2 linked regions of the Neodiprion lecontei genome follow. The protein of the gene in region 1 interacts with the protein of each later gene in a pairwise test. Links are inferred from orthologs where the notes say so. Each region holds a gene or a part of one and is shown on either strand. Other genes may lie near its edges. The genes, in order: transcription initiation factor IIA subunit 1 and histone H4 transcription factor.

What was found.
Region 2: the proteins of transcription initiation factor IIA subunit 1 (region 1) and histone H4 transcription factor interact in a two-hybrid assay, tested with the Drosophila melanogaster proteins (2 studies listed by BioGRID). The link is inferred for Neodiprion lecontei from reciprocal best matches to the Drosophila melanogaster genes TfIIA-L and Hinfp.

The regions. Positions count from the first base shown.
Region 1 is NC_060263.1:28,726,888-28,737,413, reverse strand, and holds transcription initiation factor IIA subunit 1, read left to right. Parts: upstream 1-3,508; 5' UTR 3,509-3,717; coding exon 3,718-3,834; intron 3,835-4,212; coding exon 4,213-4,423; intron 4,424-4,895; coding exon 4,896-5,252; intron 5,253-5,714; coding exon 5,715-5,920; intron 5,921-6,587; coding exon 6,588-6,731; intron 6,732-6,906; coding exon 6,907-6,996; intron 6,997-7,089; coding exon 7,090-7,197; 3' UTR 7,198-9,374; downstream 9,375-10,526. Other genes in the region: protein unc-79 homolog, read right to left, coding at 1-136, 422-511, 1,010-1,180, 1,380-1,541, 1,621-1,740, 1,918-1,939. UniProt on the Drosophila melanogaster protein: TFIIA is a component of the transcription machinery of RNA polymerase II and plays an important role in transcriptional activation. TFIIA in a complex with TBP mediates transcriptional activity.
Region 2 is NC_060265.1:18,712,469-18,721,303, forward strand, and holds histone H4 transcription factor, read left to right. Parts: upstream 1-2,979; 5' UTR 2,980-3,065; intron 3,066-3,176; exon of another isoform or gene 3,177-3,356; intron 3,357-3,417; 5' UTR 3,418-3,546; coding exon 3,547-4,032; intron 4,033-4,862; coding exon 4,863-5,199; intron 5,200-5,340; coding exon 5,341-5,656; intron 5,657-5,822; coding exon 5,823-6,120; intron 6,121-6,240; coding exon 6,241-6,462; 3' UTR 6,463-6,765; downstream 6,766-8,835. Other genes in the region: 60S ribosomal protein L36, read right to left, coding at 205-339, 507-632; tRNA modification GTPase GTPBP3, mitochondrial, read right to left, coding at 1,000-1,240, 1,348-2,317, 2,400-2,573, 2,868-2,979; vacuolar protein sorting-associated protein 45, read left to right, coding at 7,927-8,019, 8,195-8,393, 8,559-8,708.

The sequences.
Region 1 (10,526 bases):
GTTGGCCAGTAATAGAATAAGAGTTTTGCAGCAGATGCACGGGCAGGAGCTGTCCCATATGCAATTACGCATAATATGTCTTTTACCACTCCAGGTTTCAATGCCATTAAACATTCTAATAACTGACAATGATGCGCTGAAACCCATTCGAGACAGAAATAATTATAAATGTCATTCAAGTAAATTTATCAGTGAGTATTTAAACAGGAACTAAAATACTTGATGCAATAGTTGTATTGATATCTTTGACGATATTTCATGATTTGTCACCAAATTAAAGAAAGTTCCTAATATCTCAGTTCATATTCCTATTTCATAAGTAAATCTATGAGTTTGAATACTACTATGCATTTACGTTAAGTAAGCATTCGGTATTAGACCTAAAATTTGATAAAATCCTATAATTTTGGAAAGTACTCACCAGGATTATTTGAGTACTGGAACACCGTCATGATGACAGCAGAAACAGATTGACTAGCATAGTTTTCTGTTCCATCTTCAATTTTGCGTGCTAAATAAAATCGGATTAATCAGCTAAACTATTGAAAACATCAACTTTTTCCAGTGAATTTTGAGTACATTAGCTCTAAAGTTTTGCAGCCTGCTACATTATCGATATGGAAATTCTTCAAAATTACTTGAAATGGAAGTACTGGTGTAGTATGTCGAATTTTACAAAGGTATTACAAAAGGATAAATTTTCACAGATTAGAAATAAGATTTTGTTATTTCTGTGTGGAAAAACATAATTTGTTGGATCGGCAAATTTTAGTATTAAGATTGTCACAGCAAGAAAATTTGTTGCAATAGCAAGAATTTTGCAACTTTAACTAACTAGTTTGTTACATTGGAACTCCACTTGGCTATACTTGCAGAAGCTTCACTGACACAGTGAAAGTTTTTGCATCGACAGCTAAGATTCTTGCTGTCATTACATTAACACCAAGAATTACTGGTCTATCGAATTATTTTTGTCCGTGTGAAGCAGATTACAGGTAAAAAGACTTACTAATTGTGAAGGGTAGAATATAGAAACAGAGGTAATTCACAATCTCCTGATGCAGTTCAACTGGTAGAACGGATATAGCACTTGCTGTTAGATATGGCAAGTTGTCTACAAGATCATGTTCCAAAAATGGCAATAAACAACACAAGCATTGCAGTATTGCCTGGCCAAATGCTGTTAAACACAAATCAGTAGAGATATATATCAATTTATTTTTTAGCACGTTTGAATTATAAATATTCCACCATGCTTTCATAGATATTACGGTGATATTTCAATAGAAAATAAATGAGTAAGTGGTTATACTTTCATAGTTCAATAGCAAATGACCTGTTGTTACGAGGTAAATTGACATGATATGACTTTTACTAACATTGCAGACCAATGTGTACCAGAGGAACAACATCCATGAGCTGCATCACTGCATTGTAGAGCTGTTTATAATCCAAGTTTGGATACAGTGCCATTCTCTGTGAATCAAACTCTTGTGATTTTATCATTTCTAACGGAGAATCAGGAACGTCTTTGAGGAGGGCTGAAATCGATAGCAAATATTGGTATGAACAATGAAAGTTCAAACTTGTACAACATTCGACCAACGGGGGTATACTTACAAAGCAATGTTTGAGAAAAGTATTTTATGGTATTAGTCATGTCGAATCCTGAGGGAGTTGGCTGAATCGCGTGTAGGAGTCTTTGATGGTAATCGTGAAGACTCGAGAGCTTTAGTGTGTCTGTAAAATAGCACTAAAATTACAGTACAGTTCATGTGTAAGGATATTTGTACCTTAAATTGGTTTTGTGTTTACGTTGTACGTTTAAATGAATCTGTTGAAACTATTAATTGCAAGAATGAACATGATCATGAAATACTTGGAAAATTCGATATAACATAGAACGATTATACGCACATGCAGCAAATTTCGTCCCCATTTTAGAGTTGTAACAAAATTGCTTTCGGTAAGATTAATATCGCTTCTTAATATACATCATTCTTGAACAACGCATCGCATGGACCCGAGTATCCGACGTATTGATCCTCCGAACTCAGATACTCTTTAATCTGAAAGCGATGTTCCGCGCTCATCTCGACCGGACAACAGCTGATTCGCTACACTATATTAGTTGTACCTTCGGTTAAAGCATTGTACGGCACTACCGCATTTGCGTAAAAATGACATAAAACGCTTAAAAAACACTTATGTCATTTCATCCGGTCATATTCGGGTTAATCACTCGGTTTTATACACATGAGTTTCACACGTTACGTTGACAGATCTACGAAAAATTAAGCGCACGCGCCAAACTCCGATGGTCATCGTAACTCCAACGAACCACGGTTCAAGAATAATCTGCTGCCTACAGCCAACTAGGTACAATACCATGCGTTACCAGAGAGAAACCTGCGTTACATCCAAAGTATATTATGGAAATGTTTGAGCAAATCAGAATGTGGGGCGGTAATTATTCCGATGAAAAACTTTTGATTCTGAACCCAACCGGCATCCGAAGTCATTGCCTCTCGTTTTATCGTCTGAATAAATTATTAAAGCGTGTATTACACTGCTTATTCTTATAACCCCGGGGATTCCCTGCTCGCAACAATTTCTATCTGACGATCCAAATTTCGGCAATCGGCATAGAACTGGAGTATAATTTGTCCACTGTTTTGTCCAATAAATCGCTTATGCAGTGGATGTATTCCAGTATGTGTGCTAGCATCTTGCTAGCAAGTAGCACGTGGACATTTCGGAATGGTCGTTCCGTAACAAGAATGAATATCCGCGATCTGTCATTGCGGAACGGACATACATTTTGTGTCCGATTCACGATGTAAGAAGGGTAAACAGGTTGAAGTCCGACGTTACCAGGTCAAGAAATCTCCACAATTTCGACACTGATACCTGAGGCAATTCCGAGCCCAACTCATTTCATTACGTCTCGAAATGTCGGACGTGCTAGCACCGCTAGCACACATTTCGGAATACGTCCAGTATAAAGCAGAATGGCTGCTTCATTTTGACGTATTCAGGAACTCCTATGATAACTATTGAACGTAGTCACTTCCATTATAACTTTCACCTTGTCGAACCGTAAACTAGGCTCAAAAAATTACGTTATGCGTAAATCGATTAGTTTTACCGTAGTAAAAACTATCATTGCAATTTTTTAGGTTATATTCCTTCATATCACAGTAAGCTGTACATAAGGCTAAAATCACGAGAGTAGTTATGTTGATCGACGTAGTTGAGCCATAGGGTGGAATGGGAGCTGTTGAGAAAGTATAAAAGAGCTCGAGCAACGCGGCAGGTCGGCTTCTCAGAAGCGGGCATTGATTTAGGATTATTCGTATTGTTGTTCTATTGATTGATAATACGAATTATCCCATAATGGCCCTGAGTCAAACTAGCGTGGTGAGTAATAAAGAAAAACCACGAAAATAATATGCTAATGAAAAATACAGGAAACAAAGCATCGTGCTTAACGAGCCGTATGTATGTATTTACGTCTTGCTTTCGGTAATATTAACTTGCTGAAGGCCTTGGACGATCTGTCAATAGTGTAATCTTCGCTATCTTAATGCCTTTGTGACTGTTGTACTCTGTTTTGAAGTAACATTTGACTCGTTACTTGAAAAATGAAGTCGCTCGAAACATCGTTAAATAAAAATATTTATAATAAACGTTTATCGTTATTTTCACCTTCAAAACATGAGGATATCTTTATCGCCCTCGACACGTATGCGTAACGTGTTACACGACATGTTCAACGAAATGTTCATTGATTACACAATTACAAGAGAAAATAATATTGTTGTCATACTTAACGTAAGTAACAAAATATTAAATACCCGTCGATATTATTTTGATGATGATTTTATTTCTTTTTTAATTGAATAGAATTCTTTAAGAGGCAACAAAGTATTGCAATTCCAACTCGTATGCTATTTTCGCCTCACATATAAAACCTTTCTAGCTAGCTAGAGAAGTGTTTTTCTAAAAACATAATTCAGCAATGCTTATACTTCAGAAAGAAGCAAGAAAAACACATTTTACAACTGTGACATTTTACCTAGAAGTTAAAAAGAAATATGCAGATTCATCCACTTTTTTGTCAACGGCCATCTAATACGACATAAGGTGGACGTTACTTCAGTAATATTTTTACACAGCACAAAAGTGAGTAAAATGGTATTTTGGTTTCAGTTGAAGTTATACAACACAGTCATCGAAGATGTCATAGCTGGCGTGCGTGAATCATTTTTAGATGAGGGTGTAGATGAGCAAGTATTACAGGAGTTGAAACAAATATGGGAGACAAAATTAATGTCCAGTAAAACGTTCGAGGTGAACCCAGATCCACCAGAGCCCCAGCCTCCTCAGCTTACCACCCACAAGACAGCGGCAACAAATAAAGGTAACAATTTTGTAATATTTGATGGCTGTAGTCATATGTTATTGCTCACTTTTTGAAGTATTCCAAAACAGGATACAGCTTTATATGTGAAAAAATTTTACCGCACTTTGCATGCTATTCAAGCTGTATTCTACTCCGTACAAGAGATTTTGAATTTTATTGCAAGTTGTGTTTTTTTAAGACTCCATGCGCTCAAATTTTTTCAATTATCACAATCACATGTACATACTCGCAGAATCAAAATACACTTTGAACCTCTAAAGTGAATAGTTTTATACAGAAAAAAAGAATCCACATCTGGCGAAATCCGCACGTATATTACATATGATAGTAATGTCTAGACGTGACTGATCAATATTTTCTTGATGTTTGCTATTTAATTATTCTATATGTACAAAATTTAGTACGTATTTTTCAGATTGTATTGAAATCAGTAAACATTGATATTTAATGTTGGCTCTCATTTTTACAGCTGGAATTGCTGGAAATCATTTTGTGCAACAACCGTCAACTGCAGCTGCAGTACAGCAACAGCAGCAGCAGCAACAACAACAACAACAACAACAACAACAACAACAACAACAACAACAGCAACAACAGCAGCAACAACAGCAACAACAACAACAGCAACAACAGCAGCAACATGCACAGCAAGCGGGCCATCCTGTGCAACAACAATCAAGTGGTATTGCGCAGCAGGTAGTTACTGCTCCTGCTGCAGTTTTGGACAGACAAGTCCCAATTCAAATCACTCTTCCTGCACAAGCTGGTCAGCCCGATGCTCAGCCCCGAGTTCTCACAATACAAGTCCCAGCCTCAGCGATTCAAGGTAAAATAACATATCCTACTACAGTTTTAACCCATAAGTTACCGGATTACGAAATAGCTTGCTGAAAAATATTTTTACTGTCCAAAGCACATTTAAATGATTTCCTAGAATGCAAAGTCTACTTAAAAAATAAAATTAAAATTTCGAAAATCTTGCCCTATTTTGACAGTGTTCGTATGGATGAAATTGATGTCTTAATGGTACAAGTAGCTACATTTATGCACTTTAACTCTTCATTATGGACGTCAGGTTTCTTAGCGCTAGTGAGCACGTGGGGTCTTCGAGGACCCATTTTTTTGGAGCTATATTTTCGCAAAATTCTGCTAATCATTGAAACATAGATTCAAGTATTATTGATCTTGTTATTGCAATTGTAATGCGAATAAAAATTGCCAAAATATTTGGATATCTGTTTTTGTGCAAGATAAAAAGCTTTGGTAGTCACAGACATTTTTGTTACAGGTAACCAATTACATACTATTTTAACTGGTCCTGTAATTACTGCTGCAATGGGACTCCCTGCGAACCTGGCATCAACATTGTTGCAACAACATGTAAATGCTACGCTTCAAGGACAACCTACGCTTGCGCCTATTCAACTAGCCCAACCAACTGTTGTAACACAGAATACAAACAGTGTAACGACACAGCGAACTGCCCAAAGTCAGGTACGAGTATATGTTTACGGAATGGTTAAATTTCTTTTAATTTGTTTTGAGTTGTTCTAGAATAAATATTGTATACGTTGAATATTTCGTCTCTTTCACAATTAATGCCTTTTCCGTCAGTAGGCTCAAAAGTTAAATATATTCCGATTCTTGATTCGTCATCACTTTACTTCGTCAGTACTTCAAAGGTTATGCAATAGATAATTGACTTTACATAAAACTTGTTTTTCACAAATTTTAGGAATCAATGACAATGACAGCATACTTGAAGTTGGTCTTTCCCGCGTAATCATAGCTACTAAATACAGGGTGACGTAGCACTATCACCCCATAAGCTCACTATGTATTCCTCGTGAAAATCTACGACTGAAACGTTTGTTATTTCTCACTGACAGATTGTCGTTTGCGATTTACAGTTGTTTGAAAATGGCCAAACCGGTATCATCTGATGGTTTAGATCAGGGCTGGTGGATAGCCATGTGCTCCACAGCTGTCCTAAGCGATCAAATACTACCGGACTGGCTAATTTCAAACGTAATTCGCGAACAACAAGTTTCCTATTAGAAATAAAAACGTTTCAGTCGCAGACTTTCACATTGATAGCTTGTGGAGTGATAGTCGTAGGTCACCCTGTATATTTCTTACATTCCTATTCCATTGATGACAGGGTAACATAGCTCAATTGGATGGGCCTGTGGTTGATACGTCTGATGAAGACGATGATGAGGAAGAAGAAGATAATGATGATGATGATGAAGATCTTGATGATAGAGAAGAAGAAGAAAATGATGACGCTGCTGCACGTGAGGAGGTAATATTTTTTCAGATTTAACGTCGTGTAATTATCTTCCTATTTGGATAATGCATATGATATTTCTAGAATGTTTCATATACGTTCTGCTTTACGTTTAAGTGTTTTGTACTAGAGATTATATCTTTATTTAGTATTCGGAATTATTGACGTTCATGTGTGCGCATTATTTCAGGAACCACTGAATTCTGAAGATGATGTTACTGATGATGATCCAACAGATTTGTTTGATACGGATAATGTAGTTGTCTGTCAGTACGATAAGGTTGGTACTTTGGTTGTTATACTTGACCATTTCGTTTGTGCCTACTATTTGGACAGTAATAATTAATATATTTGGAATTTTACTGCATTTTAGATCACAAGGAGCAGAAATAAGTGGAAATTCTATTTAAAAGACGGCATAATGAATCTAAGTGGGAAAGACTATGTTTTCCAAAAAGCTAATGGGGATGCAGAATGGTAAGGGGCCCACTGCTACTTTTCTTTTAACAATAAAAAACCTATTCTTCTTTCCTCGTCTCTTATATCTTTTGTGCAGTCCTGTGAATCACATTGTTATGAATTAATCATTCACAGTTACTTCAAAATCATAATAGTATTAATAAGCATTATAAACCAATTACCATTACTCATTTAAAATGATACATGTAATATCAGGTAATATAAAATTTGTTATTAAGCAATTGGATGTTTTACGGTCTTGTGGACAAAATTCAAACTCTTGTATTTTTTGATTATAAAAATAATATATATATATATATACCTATATCTAAATCCGTACTGTTAGGTATTATCTAAATTCTTGCTTTTAATTTTTGTAAATAAAATCTTTCGCAAATATCACTGCACTGGTTTTGACAGAATATAATATAAGGGAATTCAGTTAACTTACTCAGGGATGTTTTGTTGTGGTATATATAAGTAGACTTGGAAACGGTAATAAAGTATACTCTAATTTTATAAATCGCATGGAACTGCATTGCAAGATAGAAGTGATAGTTGTAACATGATTTTTATTCATCTGATACCGATTAATTCCGTTTTGAATTTATAATTCTTGACCCTTACTCACTTACAAGAGGAACTGCCAAATTTCAATAATATTGCGACTGGAATAGACTTGTTTTTACTTTTGTACGCATTTGTAAATCTTATCATAAGATAGATTTTATGTAATTCCAAAATTGCGATTTATAAATAATTTTCTGAATTTATTCTCTGCGTAAATCTAATATAACATAGAATGAAGAATTATTATGCCTATTTCACTTGGAACACGGATACTAAATAATACATGCTTAAATGGTCTACTAAACGATGGGCCAGTTTAACCTTTTAAGGACGGGACTGGTCGAAATTTCGACCACTGGGTTGGTCGGATACTCCACGTGAGAAATTCATTGATATTATACACAAATTTCGTGTAAAATAAAAGGTCGATTTCAACGTAAAAATTCCCGTCCTGAAAAGGTTAATATGCTTTGGGAATAATAATTTTGAAAGTGAATCACCAGTGTAGTTGTAAATTTTAAGACAAAATACAGGTTAGTAATTAGGAGATTAAGTTTTAATTTTTGATTATACTGTATACTTTCACAAAGACTGTGCTCTAATCTAAATATCTGGTTGATTTACAAATGAAATTGCAAAATGGTTAAGGAGTTTGAGTGTACGCTCACTTACAAATTTTGTTGATTCTCGTGAATATTATTAAATCATGGATTATTTGAAGTAAAGTGCCTATGGGTAAAGTGGCGTGTGGGAGTTGAATTTAAATGTGAAACAGACTATTAAGCAAATGATATGCTCATAATTTTTGTTATAATTACCTGGGATGTAAATATATTGTCAAATGTTGTGGAAAAGTGATTATCGAAACGAAGTATAATAGTAAATTATTCCCGAGTTCATAAATTAGTTCATATTTCATTAGATTCATAAAATGGGTCAGACTTATGTATAAATTAAATTAAAGAAACTGATGCTGGGACTTAAGTAGTCGAGTGCACAAGAATCTATACTTGAATTTATTCAACTATGTAATTCTTATATAATTCTTCAACTGTATTGTAATAAAAACGTTTTTGCAATTCATTTCGAATAAAGAATCGAGCATAATCCAAAACTAGTTGGAAAAATATTTTAAAGTTACATGTGAAATAGGTATAGAATGAAGATTTAATAGGTATATTTGAAAACCATCAATGGTTGAGTATTTTACTTCATCTGAAGAAGCAAACAACTTAGAATGAAAATTCTGTAAGTTCATGAAACGAATGATTTATATACTGTAGATTTTCAAATGCTCAATTCATTAGTAAAAAAAAGAATCCATAATTGAATGCAAATTATCACTGCTTAACAACTGCGGTTTCAATACTTTTCATTGATACATATGTATATAAATCAGTTGAATAGTGTTGTGTGTACGTATAGTGTATTTGAAAATTCTTAGAAGAATAAAAGTGTCTTATGCTGCATACATGTATACCTACATTTGTAAAAGTATTTTAAATAAAGAGGGTCTATTACTGTAGATTATATTTGTCAATCGTAAAATTTTATACCCATGAATCGATTTTATTTGAATCAAATCATCTTCTAAACTAAATATTTTCATTTTTGCTACCACAAACGTATCAGTTACCCACGAAAAATCTATTTGAACTCAACGTCAAACTGAAGTTTGAAAATAGAAGTCTATAATATTGTTTTGCAAATGATGAACCTATACTGGCAGATATCACGGTACCATATCAGATTACCAGCAACTATTTCTAAAGTAATCATTTAGAATAGAATAAAATCGTTTACTCACAGTGAACATTTATCATAGAAGTATTACTACATTAGTTGTATATGCTTAACTAATCTGTTTTGCTCCGATTTATAGCTACAAATTATGAAATAACACTCATGTTAACACTCTGTTTCCCCGACTCCTCCTTGAAATCTTCATTTTGTCAGGTATGCACTGAGATGCATCATTTAGCAACAGCATTTGCTCCTGAGATGATGTCTATAAGTTCATTAGTGATTGCAGTTTGACGTGTACGATTGAACTCACGTTTCAACGCTTCTGATATTTTTGTGGCATTTTTTGTAGCATTTTCCATGGCCACGATTCGAGCTGCGAGCTCACTGCAGGCTCCTTCTTTCATCATCCAGTATATAAGTACTACGTAAGAGAACTCCAAGTAGCTTTCTAAAATTTCTTGCTCTATTTCATCGTATATTGCAAAGTTTCTTCCTGCATATACTGCAGTTTTGTTATATAAATCCGTAACGTCTACCTTATATGACATGCGGGATAGACATTGGTTGTAATGCACTTTAGTCACTGTATAATTACTTTTGGTGTTGCATTCATTTATTTTCATGGCAATAACTGATGCATCCAAAAAATTGATATTTTTTTTTCCAACATCTTTTGCTGTCCAAATAAGCTTTTCCGGTAATGTTTTCGAAAAAATAGACACAGAATACTGACCGACACATACCAGTCTACTTTTTGACGCTAAGCTTAGATTGTTGACAAGACTTGAATTAATTACTCTTGCTATCCCAGAGTGAATAGCTCCGCATAATCCGTTGTCAGATGTTAAGGCAACAATCAACTGAGAGCCGATTTCTACAGGAAGATTCACTCCAATTTCTTCATAAAAAATTTTTTGTCCTTTCCCCAAGGATCTGGCATTTTCAAGTTCTTGTTCAGCTCGAACAAACTTTGAGGTAGAGACAATTTTCATTGACTGTGTTATCTTCTTAGTATTTGACACTGATTTAATACGA
Region 2 (8,835 bases), on another chromosome or scaffold:
TGACTTTGAAGTAGATGAGTCTTTAAAAGATGAATAAGTTTTGCCTTATTATGATTTACTGCATTTTAGATATCTCTGCAATTGTGATATATGGATTTTTCCGGAAAGTAAATTATTTGAATAAAGTTACTAACCTCCGCCTCATAAAGAACTGCGATAAGAATGCTTTGGTAACAGGGAATCTGGAACATTAAAGTAACTTACCCTTCTCTTCAAGAATTTCAGAGCTCGTTTGTCTTTAGACACCTTCAGTAATTCCATGGCGCGTTTTTCATATGGAGCATGTCCAGTTACCTCTCGTATCAAGTCACGTACAAATTTGCTGTGCTTTGTTTGACGCTATGCAGAAACGGTGATACATACAAGATCAAAAATAATGATTGTGGCAATTAATGAAATAATTTTTAAAAATAAAATCAAACTGTTATGCATTTGGATCGAGAAATTTTTCTCCAATTGAATGCAACGCGATACTGAGGTTATGTACAAAACAAATTGACACTTACGCCCTTGAGCCTAGCTGGGCGGATGGTAACGGTCTTTTCTTTTTCAGATTTGTTTTTAGCGACACGTATCTTCGTGGTTTTGTGACCCTTCTTGAGGCCGACGGCCAATTCGTACCTTGGTGCCATCCTGTTGTTAAAATACAATTATTAGAGGTTATGTTATCACTGTCGCAAATGCTGAGAAAAGTACAATTTCATGAAAATATGTAATGAATGAAGTAGCTGAATCATTTACAAAAACAATTATATGCAACGGTACGGATGATGTGTACAGATTCGAGAGATATATCGCGATTCCAAAAACAACGCACCTCACGATACAACGACGCACGTTGAAAGAAATGGCTGGCCGGAAGTATTGTAAGGAATGGACGTTTCTTTTATCGCTGCCATTGGCCAATCGACGACTTTCGGATAATAGCGGTAAATTGAATTTGAATAAACGAATGGTTACAAAATGTACACTATTAAGATAATCTAGAATGTGGTATATTTATTTGCCAATACAAAAATCTTTGAATATTACATCGAGAATTTGTTCTACGCTAACGTATCCCGTAATTAAACCGAGTTCTCGCATAGCGTTTCGTATTTCTTGTGCAGCTAAAACGATGTCCCTTTCCTCACTCTTTATAAGGTCGAAGTAATTATCTATATGTTCAGAACAATTTGTCAAATGTATTCTGTGCCTAGTTTGACTGACAGTAGGGTTTTCACGACACGGATTACCACATCTGCAAAATGAAAAGTTTAACTATCATACAGTACATGAGAAAAAGATCAATGATCGGTTTCAATACAGAGTATCAAATAAATGATTATTTAGCCGGTCAATACTCACAAATTTTTTAAATGTATGGCAACACGTTTCGAGAATTTTTGGAGGCCCTCTTCTCTGGCACAGGAAATAAATATTGTCCTGTCATCTTTTAACAGCGAATCTCTTTCTTGGGGCTCCAACAAGTCTATTTTATTCATTACTACTATACAGTGATCCATCACCTTTCCATTATTCAGTAACAAATCATTTAACCCTAGTCGTTCGACGTAGTCAATGATAAATTCGTCGTACTTCTTCTTACTTCTTAAATACGAAACCGAATTAGCCAATAGAATTACAAAATCAGCCCCCTTAGTATAATTCTTTGCTCTATGTATACCCTCTATCTCAACAATGTCTGTCGTTTCTTTTCTTAGACCGGCAGTATCAGCTAAAATCACAGGATAATCGAATATATTTAAATTTAATTCAACAATGTCCCTTGTTGTTCCAGGAATAGGCGTAACTATTGCAGCTTCTCGTTGAACAAGATAATTCAGTAAACTACTTTTCCCAACATTTGGTTCCCCAAGAATTACAGTTCGCACACCTTCACGTAATATCTCTCCTTTTCTACCATCTGAAAGGTGACGTTTTATTTCCTGATTTAGAACTTTTAATACATTATTGCATTTGTCCATAATGTCAGCTTCTATGTTGTCATCTTCGCTAAAATCAATGTAAGCCTCGACATGTGCAATAGATTGTAAAAGTGTTTTCCTCCACTTATTGTACAATTTGCTCAAACTTCCATCAACTTGTAGATATGCTTGTTTTCTCTGCAGTTCTGTCTCTGCATGGATCAGATCAGCCAACCCTTCAATTTCAGTCAGGTCCAACTTGTTGTTATAGAATGCTCGCCTTGTAAATTCACCTGGTAAAGCATGGGCAAATTTCAATTTTGAAAGAGCAGCTGATACAGCTGCAATTACAGCAGAGCCGCCGTGTATCTGGAATTCTACACTGTCCTCTCCAGTGAAAGAATTAGGTCCTATAAAGTTAATGTTTTATCAAATTCAATTCTATTGCGTGTGATAATTATTTCACAAAAACTATCTATAATAAGTAGCTACCTGGAAACCAAAGACATAAACCCTTGTCTATAACTTCCCTTGTATCTGGATCGCAGATATTTCGAAGAAAAGCTTTTCTGGGTTCAAGTTTCGTTATGTTTGTCATTTGCTTCAAGGCATCAATTGCCTGACTTCCTGATATCCTTATTACAGCAACACCGCATTTCCCGTGCCCTTAAATAATAATTTTTTTTTTATTTTTATTTTACTTTAAATAAAATATTCGAAATTACTAAGCACTGCGTATTTTCCTGCTTTATGGAATAACCAGAGGGCAACTTAAAATTAAGTTAAACCCTTAATGAATGACTTTAAAATTCAAGTTAGTGTTCTGTATTCGTTGAGCTACGCAAATTTATTTCGGAACTTGCATATTTCGTAATTTTCAACAAATAGTTTTAGAAATACTAGATTTTCATGAATTGCACTTCGTTTTGGGTGAATTAAATATGTAGATCAATTGTTAACCAGAAGAGAGCGCAAAAATTGTTGAATTTCCATTCCACCGTCTGTTGAAGAAAAATACTCCGGCAGTCTCTGGCGAAATCATGAAGCGTGGAGTTAGGCATCGCGCGAGCATCTTTATGAATGGATATTTACAGTATTCTGATGCTCTAAGGATTTTTATACGTTGATTGCGATGTAACCAGATTTGAAAAGTACTTCGTGAGTATCGTTAATAATGGTAAACTGTAAATAGAACGATTAAATCCAACAAATATGGGACGATCTTACACTGCTAAAAACTGTCATGGTGGAGGACATGCATACACCTACCCACAAAGCTTACGTCTAGTTGTGTGACCAACAACGCGTATTATTTATATTTTTAATATTTTCAATTGTTTCACAATAGCGAACAAATATCGAACTTGATTGTAGGATTTATTCGATATTTCTTACTGGGCGATTCTTAATGTCCTTGGACTCTCGGTTCTTCTATTTTCGGTTCTACTCGTGTTTCATTGGTTAGCAAATAATTACAATCTGAACTAATCGACAATAATTTTTGTTACAGGACCAAAATTGGCGGTAAAATGAAATATATCGCGGTTTGATCATTGAATTTATCACTCGTTAAATATTTGCTGTCACGCCCTCTAGTCTTTATATATGATTATTCATATATCTTAATAAATTTTATGCAATGACTATGAGCGAAAAAGAGTTGGTGTCAAGTAAAGAATTGCAAAACAGATGCCATGGCTGGGTGGAATCTCAGCAAGAGCTTTTATACTCCGAGGATAATGTCTTGAAAAGAAAATTAGACACCGAACCAGAAGAGTTCTTTGATACTGACTCGGAATTTGACTCAGTTTCTGAATGCGGAACTAAAAGACGCAGGGTGTTGAAACAAGTGAAAGATGAGGTTTTGAATTTGCTGTGCGAATGGAAGGATTGTTTGTTTGACACCAATTCTCTTGATATTTTTGTCAAACATGTTTCCAACCACATTCCGCAGCTCAAGATCGTTACTACAGAAGAAGGTCGGGAAGTTTATGCGTGTCTGTGGAATGGCTGTTCCTTCGAATCTGATATTTCTGACGATATAGCCAAACACGTTAATTATCACTCCTATCATACAAAGTTGAAATGTATTGGATCTAACATCAGAGGAAGAGTTAAATTGCCTGTGAATATAATTTTATTATTTTGCTTGTCTTATAATAATTTTGATCATGCTACACTTGTTTAGTTGTAAAGTTCCCAACTAAACTGTAATTAACTATTCAAGCAACTTGCAAAATTGACAATATCATTTGCAGCATTATCTAAGAACTTAATCTGTACGTTTTCTACTTTGATTGTAAAAATATAAGTAATAGAGTTAGCGTTCATGAAAACCAGTTGTTTCATTGGTGAGAAATGGTTCATGGCAGTGAATTTTACAAATTGCAGTAACTGTTCTTGTTTACATAGTGAAGTGAGAAAGCATAGATCATGACGAATTTTATTCAAATACATAATAGTACTTTAGGTGGCATCCCCGTAAAGTAGGTGGTTACCGGGCAAAAATACTTAATTCATTATTCGAGTGAAAAACACTTTATGGTCACGCTCCATACAATATTTTTCCAGAAAAGCATGAAAAGTTATTTTGACACCAGTTGAGATCCATATTTCAGACAGAGCAACAGACTCAGAATTGCCGTATAAAGTCTGTTATATGGCAGTTCAACATATGCACTTTGAACTACCCATCAAAACTGCAGTATAAAGTCTTCATACTATAGTTCTGAGGTTGGTGGTATAAAGTACCACTCGCCGAATGTTATACAGGCATCAAAAAGTGACTTTTTCATGCCTGTGTCAGAAAAATACATGTGCTTACATACATAAATCATTCAAAAGAATTCGTTCAGTAATATTTTGTGAAATGAGTTTACTTAAATGCGCTTTAAATTGCGTTTGAAATTAATACATTCACATTTCATATAAAACTATTTGAAATTATTTTTTTAGAAATGTTACCAAGACCAGGGTTTGAAAAATGTGATTGACCAGCCATTGCCTCAGATCTGCAGTTGGGAAGAATGCCTAAAATCTTTCAATAACTACCAGGCCTACTTGTGGCATGTTGTTACACACATTGAAACTAATCCACGTGGAAATAAGGTAGAGGGAGGAGTAAATTGTCTATGGACAGGTTGTAATGGTAACTACAAAAGTTTGTACAAGCTTCGAGAGCACGTCAGATGTCACACAAAGGAGAAGATGGTTGCTTGCCCAGATTGCGGTGCTACATTTGCTTCCAATACCAAATTTCATGATCACTGCAAACGCCAGATTCCTTTGGATCGTAAGTAATGATAACACCAATGTATGGGGAAATTTTTGACAATATTTACAATCCTATCAAATCCGACTGTGTGATTTATTTATTTGAAACCCGTTATCAGTACTTCAAAATTTTTATTATTATATTTGTATTCTGCTGCAGTGCAAGGCTTTCAATGTTCACACTGCAACAAGTATTACCCAACAGAAAGTATACTGAGAAATCACATGCATTTCCATGTATTTCATTATAAATGCACTATGTGCGATATGAGTTGCGAGTCACCGGCAAGTTTGGCAAAACACATAAGATATCGCCATATATCCAGCAGACCATTCAAATGTCAGCTGTGCACACATGCAGCTAAATCTGAGCAAGACTTGGATTCACACATGGCAGTTCATACAAGAGGACCGAATTTCATCTGTACTGTAGATGGTTGTTCCTATGGATGCAAAAACTCATACATGATGGACAGGTATTCTTGTGCTTGGACTGTTATTTTAAAATTAGAAAGAAAGCGAAGTTCATTAACAATGCCTGAAACAATGTACACTTTAATTAATTGCCCATGATACTTTCATTTCCTTCTGTACATTTAAAAGTTGGTTTGTTCATTTGAGATTTTGTTTTTGTCTCACTAGACATATGGAACGTGTGCATTCAAAATTCCTCAGATTTTATTGTTGCCACGAATGTCCAGTAAAATACCGTAAGAGCTATCGTCTTACCAAGCATTTGATTGAAACTCATCACTTGCAATGGCCAAACGGGCACAAACGGTTTCGTTATAAGAAAGATGAGGATGGCTGCTATCGACTGCAAGTTGTGCGTTATGAAACCTTGGATGAGGATACTGTCAAAATGACAGGAGAGTCCGCACCAAAGGAAAAGAATTACTTATTGGAGCTATCGGCTGGTTCTTCTGTACCAAAGTTGAAGGTATATATTTTCAATCATTCATGGTATTACTTCTATCTTTCGATATGTGAGTTGTAAATCTATCAATGTTTTTAATAAATTTATATCCATTTTACTGAGAAATTGTATCCGATTTTATAGATAACAGAAGAGGTGGAGAAAAGTCTCAATTCTGATTACCTCAAAATGTCCAAACATGAAGCTGCTAACGAGACTGGCAAATCGATGCCTATTGTTTCAAATATTTTGATATGGATTGACGAAGTTGATGAAGATGGGAATATTATCGAAAGTAGAGTTGTCGAAACTCAGGAGACCAATGAGCTACCTCCATCTGCAGAACCGCCAATAATAATAAAGTAGAGATCACCTCTTCGTTTTACATGTAGATACATACCTATGTTGTCAAAGCAATAAAATACTTTACTAAATTTTGTATCAAGTTACAATAATGAATCTTCAGAATTCTAAAAGCAACAATCAAAACAATTTTTTCCCATCAATATTTGTGACGTTTGTTTTGAGACATGCCGTGTCTTAATTTGCCCAAGGCACTTACACCTGAGTACTCAGTGGGTCAGTGGGCTTACTTGCATGATTGTGACGAATCACTGTTTCGTCGTGAGTATGCAAGTGTGTAAGTGGTTCAGGTGAATTAAGACACGGCAATATACTTGTAAAAATTCATAAATGCTGAGAGAGATAAGGGAACCAGTTCTTACTCGATAAGCAAAAGGCGAACTCAATTGTTTAACCAGGTAAACGAGATACTTACTAATGTAATTTTTATCTAGAGATAAATGAATAATTGTAAAATCCTATTCCTGGATTCAAATTAATGTAGTGTGGGGTGAGATGTGACGAATAAGCCTATTTTATTTATCTGCAACCATAAATATACTATTAAATCAAAGAAGTATGCTATATGAATATCACTGGCAGTTTTTCAAAGTCTAGAATCACAAGAGTCAAATCGTTTAGAAATAAGTCCTAACTAAGTACGAATGCGGTATTGATTTCGCCTGATATCGCTAAGCTGCTCTTTTTAGCTTCAAATTCTGATTGCGACACTTTAGTGATTTGAAACACTCTGGAATCGAAAGCCCGATAAAATACATTGGATCTACTAGACAACCTCATTTTTTACACCGTCAGTCAACGTTACAAGTTTTTCTATTCCAAAAAAAAAATTGCTAGCAAAATTAATTCACTTCAATTTTTTCTTACGCGTCAAATTTCATGATTTGATACATTTTTTGCCGTGTTGTCGGAGCCACCTTAAGTAAGTGCAACCAGTCAATAACCACCCACAGATTTATTATTGTGCATCCTTTGCATGATTGATTCAATGTGATTACCGTTTTCTCTTTATCAAGAAAGCATATCAATGGAATTTTATTTAATCTTTGGTCTTTCGATTCATCATACATTTCATTTTCACTAATATATTGTCGCTATAGTCACATACATTCATCATACAATTATTTTATTTTGTCAAATATTAATGTATTCATGTAATCTTCAGCAGCAGCTTTGATTTTCCATGTCTATGGATTTTCCACATGCAAACGTCAAACTTTCGTGAATACTGTCTGCTAGATCGCCGCCATTATTGTTTACCTCATCCTCACCGACGCATGAGGTACCTGGCGGATTTCCGTCGTACTAAGGCATAATAATCACAGAGCTCAACACAGGGAGCAGGGCAGTTGGACGCCGGACTACCTCTTATTCGTACCAAGGGTACCAAGTGATTGTGTGTCACGAAGTCGTGGATTATGTGCACCTTAACCTTAATGTAGTATAATTGATAAAAATCCATCGAAAATGAACGTGTTTTCGGCTTTAAAGCTTTACATCACCAAAATGACCGAAGAGAGCGGTCCTGGTATGAAAGTGCTCCTAATGGATAAGCAAACGGTAGTTAATTTTCGATCTCCAGATTAGGTTAGGTCTGGCTGTCAAAGTAGTACGTCGGTTCTTCTGTTGCGGCAACAATTAAATGTTGTTCCGCCTAAACAGGAGTGAACGTTGAAATCGTACTTTGATCGTAAAGATCAGACACATGTAATTTTTTCACTTTCTTCATTTTCAGACAAGCATTGTTAGTAATGTTTACAGCAAGTCGGAAATTTTGCAAAAAGAAGTTTACTTATTTGAACGCATAGACAGTGGAGCGCAGCCTGAGGGTCTTCGTCACTTGAAATGCATCGTATTCTTGAGGCCAACTGCAGAGAATATCTCCCTACTCTGTAGAGAGCTGAGGTGCCCAAAATATGGGGTTTATTACATATGTGAGTATCCTTTTTACTGTACGTTAAATTGAATCATGAAATTACAAACGACACTGTTCTTTTTATAATTCATACTTTGTTTCATTAAATTATCATCGATCACTTGTTATGAAGTTCATAAAGACACTTGAACACATGGTATCTTTCATAAGGTCATTAATTAAGATTTCAGTAACATAATTGCAAAGGCTGACATAAAAACATTGGCCGAAAGTGATGAACAAGAAGTAGTGAGAGAAGTTCACGAATTCTATGCCGATTACCTGGCATTGAATCCCCATCTATTCTCCCTTGGAATAAATGTTTGCGTACAAGGTATACAATGTCACAATTATTTCTTTTGTGTGATTATGATTTGGTATGTTAAAATAGTATGTGAGTTGAGAGTGCTAATTTCTAACAATAATATCACAAAATACGGTTTTCAAACATTTTCTTACTA